Xenopus tropicalis: one gene and its partner. The protein of the gene in region 2 purifies or fractionates together with the protein of the main gene of each other region. This does not show direct contact. Links are inferred from orthologs where the notes say so. Each region holds a gene or a part of one and is shown on either strand. Other genes may lie near its edges.

Region 1 (3,571 bases), on a different chromosome or scaffold from region 2:
AGGCAGGGGCATCTGTGGGGCCCTGATCAGCCCAGGGGCCACACATTTACCTTTCACTATTATCATTTATCCCATGAAGCTCACCGGAAATGATTTGATTGTCCAAATCACCACATTTTTTTCAGGGACATATTTCGCGCTCCCCACACTGGTTTTAAACTTGGGAGAATCAGCATCACTCGGCACCGGCACAGAAATCTCCACATTATTTGCCACCGATTGTTTCTTAAATTGCCCCTTAGCCTGAAAAGTGTAAGAGATTATAATTAGTGCAGCAACACTGGGAGGTACCCATAGCCACCCGCTGTCTGTCACCCTGCAGTGGGAGGGGCAAACTCCATGTCCCATAGCCACCTCCTGTCTGTGTCACTGTATCACCCTGCAGTGGGAGGGGCAGACTCCGTGTCCCATAGCTCCCTCCTGTCTGTGTCACTGTATCACCCTGCAGTGGGAGGGACAGACTCCGTGTCCCATAGCCACCTCCTGTCTGTGTCACTGTATCACCCTGCAGTGGGAGGGGCAGACTCCGTGTCCCATAGCTCCCTCCTGTCTGTGTCACTGTATCACCCTGCAGTGGGAGGGACAGACTCCGTGCCCCATAGCTCCCTCCTGTCTGTGTCACTGTATCACCCTGCAGTGGGAGGGGCAGACTCCGTGTCCCATAGCCCCCTCCTGTCTGTGTCACTGTATCACCCTGCAGTGGGAGGGACAGACTCCGTGTCCCATAGCCCCCTCCTGTCTGTGTCACTGTATCACCCTGCAGTGGGAGGGGCAGACTCCGTGTCCCATAGCTCCCTCCTGTCTGTGTCACTGTATCACCCTGCAGTGGGAGGGACAGACTCCGTGTCCCATAGCCCCCTCCTGTCTGTGTCACTGTATCACCCTGCAGTGGGAGGGGCAGACTCCGTGTCCCATAGCCCCCTCCTGTCTGTGTCACTGTATCACCCTGCAGTGGGAGGGGCAGACTCCATGTCCCATAGCCCCCTCCTGTCTGTGTCACTGTATCACCCTGCAGTGGGAGGGGCAGACTCCGTGTCCCATAGCCCCACTCCTGTCTGTGTCACTATCACCCTGCAGTGGGAGGGACAGACTCCGTGTCCCATAGCTCCCTCCTGTCTGTGTCACTGTATCACCCTGCAGTGGGAGGGACAGACTCCGTGTCCCATAGCCCCCTCCTGTCTGTGTCACTATCACCCTGCAGTGGGAGGGACAGACTCCGTGTCCCATAGCTCCCTCCTGTCTGTGTCACTGTATCACCCTGCAGTGGGAGGGACAGACTCCGTGTCCCATAGCCCCCTCCTGTCTGTGTCACTATCACCCTGCAGTGGGAGGGACAGACTCCATGTCTTACCTTCACCATAATCTCCAGCCGGCTATGACTGAATTTCTCAATTACTGACTCTATCCAGATTAATGGTTTAACCTAAAATACAAATAAAATATGTTTGTTAAAAAGCAAACTGACTGTTTAGTGCTGCTATATTGATAAGCTCTACAATACAAATCACTTGCTGTAGTTGAACTATAACACTTATTCCTGTGGGACAATGCAGTACCTGTGTGTTCAGCCTGTAAGACATGAGCTCAAAGTCGCCATCCGGAGGGATAAAGGAAATGGTGCGGTCATTCTCAAAGCGGGACAGGCGGACGCACTGGTGAAACTTCACGTCTTCAAGCTCCACTGTTTTATTTTTGTTGCCTGTGTTTGAAGGAAAGACAAAGCCATGTGACTGGGTTACCTGGGTGGGTGGGGCTTTGTTCAGAAAACAGTTAAAAGATGGCTGAAAACAGTAGAGAACACTGCATCAAAATCTGTCTGAAGAAGGAACTTTAATATAAAAGTTATTACAGTTATTATTACTGTACTTCAACAGCTGTGACATGTTTTACCTTTAAAGGGGAACTAAGACTCCACAATGAATTGGGATAGAGATGCTACACCTTAAGTTTTGGGCTTTTAGCCGGGAAGATCTATGCCCCCAGTAGCTCATATTGGAGAAGGTAATGACCGAGGGGGATAGAAGATAAGGGAAGAAGGAAGGAGACAGTTTGGGGAATAGTTTGAATTAATTCTGAATTGATATGGGGCCCTGAAGGGATTGGTTGAGTTGTCAGATGGAAGAGGTGTGGCTTGGTATGTTGGAAGAGTGCATTAGCAGAGGGGTGGCTTGGTATGGTGTAAGCGTGCATTAGCAGAGGTGTGGCTTGGTATGGTGGAAGAGTGCATTAGCAGAGGGGTGGCTTGGTATGGCGGAAGAGTGCATTAGCAGAGGGGTGGCTTGGTATGGCGGAAGCGTGCATTAGCAGAGGGGTGGCTTGGTATGGCGGAAGAGTGCATTAGCAGAGGGGTGGCTTGGTATGGCGGAAGAGTGCATTAGCAGAGGGGTGGCTTGGTATGGCGGAAGAGTGCATTAGCAGAGGGGTGGCTTGGTATGGCGGAAGAGTGCATTAGCAGAGGGGTGGCTTGGTATGGCGGAAGAGTGCATTAGCAGAGGGGTGGCTTGGTATGGCGGAAGAGTGCATTAGCAGAGGGGTGGCTTGGTATGGTGGAAGAGTGCATTAGCAGAGGGGTGGCTTGGTATGGTGGAAGAGCGCATTAGCAGAGGGGTGGCTTGGTATGGTGGAAGAGCGCATTAGCAGAGGGGTGGCTTGGTATGGTGGAAGAGCGCATTAGCAGAGGGGTGGCTTGGTATGGTGGAAGAGCGCATTAGCAGAGGGGTGGCTTGGTATGGTGGAAGAGTGCATTAGCAGAGGGGTGGCTTGGTATGGTGGAAGAGTGCATTAGCAGAGGGGTGGCTTGGTATGGTGGAAGAGTGCATTAGCAGAGGGGTGGCTTATTCCCCCCCACAACTCACGGCCAGTTAGTTCAAAGAGGACTCTGTCGTTAAGCCCCAGCCGTAACTCCGGCATCCCCGAGAGAAAGACCTTTAGCTTCACACTGCCCACAATCTCACTGCGTAGAACGCTGCCGTTGCTATTCACCTGGAACACAAAGATAGAGTGTTAAATTGGAGCTCAGAGGGCAAATTGCATTGCGGGAACCAGGGCCAGAGATGGGATGAAGGGGCCACGGCGGAAGCCATTACTCATAGGGGACAAACTCATAGGTGGCCCCTGGGCAGAACAGCTCTCAAACCACACTAACATTACAGCCCTTACTTACTAGAATATTGACGGACTCAATCACATCTATGAAGACTTCATTCTTCTTATACTTGATCCCTTCGGACCTCCAGGACACGGCGTTGGTCACCGTGGTGGGGACACGAGATTTGCCTGTATCCAATTTGTTTCCTTGCTGAGTGATATACCTGGGCATAACAGAAAAAGGGGTCTGATCAGCTATAAACTGGCGACAGAGATTTACAGGTCTAGTAACCCATAGCAATCAGATGTTTAAATGCTACCTGCTGATTGGTTTATGTTTAAGCCCTATGAGCAAGGTGCTAACAGTACAGTAAGATGGTGAAAGCAGAGCAAGATGGCCCCTTCTCCTCCCAACTGGTGCTCCACAGGGTCCTACTATGAGTAGCGGCCACCCCCTAACTACACCCATAGTACAGCAAGATGG
Region 2 (3,571 bases):
ACCCTTGATTATTTATTACTTATTATTACTAACCACTAGGGTGGTGCTGGCAGTGGTTAAAAACCTTTTGATCACATCAGTGAAAAAACATGCACTATTCCACACAGTGCCATATATTTTAAATATATTTAGTGATCCTTGTGGAGGAAATTTGAGTGCAAACATTTTTTTTTTACATTAAGCTTATGTGCTAATCAAAGGGAAAAATGTGCCACATTTTACCAATTTATCCATACTGCAAATATTATTTCCATGCATTACAGTGTAAATGCAGGAGCCGGAAGATTTGTGCCTGCTACCATATCTGCTAACTGTATTTGAAAAAAGTGATTTTTATATATTTTGTGGATAGCTTTCAGTGCTTAATAGATATTAGCACTGTTCAGTGCTTAATAGATAAGAAGCAAGTTAAGTCTCCACATATAAATCTTGCTCCACCATTTGTTTTATTTTTAATTACTACGAGAAATATTAACCAGAAGAATAAAAAAATAGCTGAGATCAAATAACTGGGCTTACAAAATGTACAAATCACATTGCTAATATAAAATTAAACCCATACATACACAAATCAAAAGCCTCTAGTTATATATCTTACCTTCCTAAAGTGAGTGAGCATGTCTGGACTCCTCTCACACATCTCTGTCAGAAGCACAACGGAGGTGTGAAGCACTCCTATGCAGAAAACAAAACATTGTCAGAAGTTTAATATTACAGACAATAATCACAAAATACTGGTGTCAAAAGCCAAATCCTTTTTCTACATACCATGGTTTTTTTCATTCAGCAAGTTTTTTGTTGCAGGCAAAAACATTTCCATGAGCTCTGGGACTTTTCTGATGACATGAACTGCACACAATGCCGCCTGGACACATGAACAAAGCAGAAACAATAAATAGCGAAATAATGCACATAACTAACTTTTAGGGAAATGTAAATACAGGTATAGGATTTATTATGCGGAATGCTGGAGACTTGGAACTAATGGTGGCCATACACGAGCAGATCCGCTCGCTTGGCGATGTCGCCAAGCGAGCGGATCTTCCCCCGATATCCCCACCTACGGGTGGGCGATATCGGGGACCATTTAGGTAAAAAAAATAATAATCCGATCGTTTGGCCCTGGGGCCAGACGATCGGATTATGTGGGCGGCAATGGGGCAGTCGGATCGGGGACCGCATCAACGAGCCGATGCGGTCCCCGATCCGACCACATTTTCTAACCTGGCCGATCGAGATCTGGCCAATTTCAGACCAGATATCGGTCGGCCAGGCTGCTCTGCTCTCCCCATACACGGGCCGATTAGCTGCCGAATCGGTCCAAGGGACCGATATCGGCAGCTATAGTCGGCCCGTGTATGGCCACCTTAAGAGTTGTGCCACTTAAACGGAGAATGGGAACATTTCCACATGCGTATCTGATATGTTACACATTTTTCAGACCTGACAACATTTTAGTATTCCGTATAGCATGCCAACCATAACAGTTTGATGTTTTATGTTTATTACATATGAACTTCTTTCAACCGTCTCATATATATAAGATATATATATATCCAAAAGTATATGCATATACATAATCCAGCAATACCTTTTTTCGTAGGTAGGAATTTGATGTTTTGAGTAGTTTCTCCACTTCTCCTGCCAGATCTCTGCACATCTCAGCAGATCCCATGCAACCCAGTGTGCAAAGTGCCAAGCCCTGCACATACTGTGTGCTGTGATTTAAGTCACTAGGAAAAAGACAAGCGTTACGTTAAGGCTTTTAGAAATGCTAAGTGTCTATCATCCTATATGCTATAGACATTTACTTTATAAATGGTAATACTGAGTGCAGAAGAAGAGAAATTGTGATTCTAAAAGGAGGAGCCTCTATTAATACAGCCTTAACCCACCCCTCGCCATCTTGAAAGGTAAAACATTTGGCACAAGTAACAGCTGTTTATCTCAGTATACTATAGGTAATGACCATTTGAACAATGGAACATAAGGTCGCTATGTGGTTTTCTGACTGCAAAATGTGTATACTGCTAGACTAAGGACCCTCTAATACTGGCCTACATTTGGTGCTTCGGATTTATTTGATTACACCATGTCTAAAGGCTTCAACATGCTACCCACTTCTGGCAATGAGAATTTACTGGTCCGTCAAAAGTGTGGGTGGTTGGGGAGATATCTCCTATGTTTTATGTTTAAACAGAAGGCTGAAGTAGAATTGAAAGTGTCTAAGGCAAATGAATGCAAATAAGAGCCACAAGCATATATGATCATTAATTAAAAGGAGAAGACAGTAGTCATTTCTGCTTTATTGTTCAGATTTAGGTCATTTCTTAAGAGGGCTATCTGCTATAATGGTCACAAATCTTACTTAGCACCAACTTTTTACAACACTTCTGCAAACATCCCCTTTGCTGAGCTTTTGGACAAGCGCATATTCTTGCAACATTTTTAAATACTAATTGCATGTTTTTCTAGTTTCCTACTTAGTTAAAGATATGATACATTGCGGCCAGTGTTTATCCATGGAAGGACACTACAAAAACACACTTAAAACTTTGGCTTGGTTGCCAAGAAAAGTAAGGAAAAAAAAGCAACTGAAAACCACCTTTCCCTCAACCAATACACTGCCATCATACTTCTACTATAGACCTTTTTTAAGCATCTCAGCAATCTCAAGGGTATGAGAAGCATAGTATACTCAACTCTCTGCTGACCCCTAGTCACTGGCACTGTTCATCCACTCAGTTCTAAAAAAAACAGGCCTACATTTTTCCCAACATCACACTTATTAACACACATTACTTTTTAATGCAGTTGGTCATCAGCAAATGGACATCCTGTCGCTCATCTAGAAGCAGCATTGCTCCCAGGTACCCAATCCGTTTATCTGTGAACTTCTGAGAAGCTATGAGCTTCAAGCACTCCAACTAAAAGAAAAAATCTAAATAAATAGCTGAAATGTAATTATTATGATACCTCCCTAAAATGTACTAACATTTAACATTTTTAAACACTGCCTGGTGTATTTGTGATTAAACAGCCACTTCAATATTACTAATAATTATTAAATGCGGGGGGGGGAGGGGGCCCTACACTTGATTCAAGCCAGGGCACTATATGCAAGGAGATTGTATGTTCTCCCTGATCTTGTTGGGGAACTTCTCCGGCAGGTTAACTGGTTTCTCATAAATTTAACCATAGTGTGTGAATGCAAAATGGAGAACCATGGTGCATGGAATGATGTATAATCTCTGTAAAATGCTGTGGAATATGTTGGTGCTGTATCAATAAAGAATAATCACTAATAATAAAGGAGAGTTAGGTCCTACATGTGCAGTTATCTGATCTTACTCACTGTCACACTAAAATGTCAAGGAAAACACTAATGGGGTCTTACCTGCCCAAAATGTGCAGGATACCCCAACATATGCATGTACAGCAGTTTGGCCACATTACGGCACCGGTATGTGTTGTCTTCTTCACGGAAAGACGAGCGTATTGCAGCACATTCTTTCTGGATCATTTCCCGCTCTTCTGCCTGAGTGCGTGCCGTCCGGATGGTACGGATAAG

The links. Proteins that work in one complex are often made in the same cells at the same time.
Region 1: the proteins of ap1g1 (region 2) and ap1m2 purify together in Homo sapiens (affinity purification with mass spectrometry; 4 studies listed by BioGRID and IntAct, counting the BioPlex papers as one, with this or other methods). This does not show direct contact. The link is inferred for Xenopus tropicalis from reciprocal best matches to the Homo sapiens genes AP1G1 and AP1M2.

What each region holds. Positions count from the first base shown.
Region 1 is NC_030679.2:138,232,274-138,235,844, forward strand, and holds part of ap1m2 (AP-1 complex subunit mu-2), read right to left. Parts: intron 3,312-3,571; coding exon 3,164-3,311; intron 2,983-3,163; coding exon 2,856-2,982; intron 1,700-2,855; coding exon 1,557-1,699; intron 1,424-1,556; coding exon 1,352-1,423; intron 244-1,351; coding exon 85-243; intron 1-84. UniProt on the Homo sapiens protein: Subunit of clathrin-associated adaptor protein complex 1 that plays a role in protein sorting in the trans-Golgi network (TGN) and endosomes.
Region 2 is NC_030680.2:59,344,679-59,348,249, reverse strand, and holds part of ap1g1 (AP-1 complex subunit gamma-1), read right to left. Parts: coding exon 3,398-3,571; intron 2,928-3,397; coding exon 2,803-2,927; intron 1,734-2,802; coding exon 1,592-1,733; intron 866-1,591; coding exon 769-865; intron 676-768; coding exon 599-675; intron 1-598. UniProt on the Homo sapiens protein: Subunit of clathrin-associated adaptor protein complex 1 that plays a role in protein sorting in the late-Golgi/trans-Golgi network (TGN) and/or endosomes.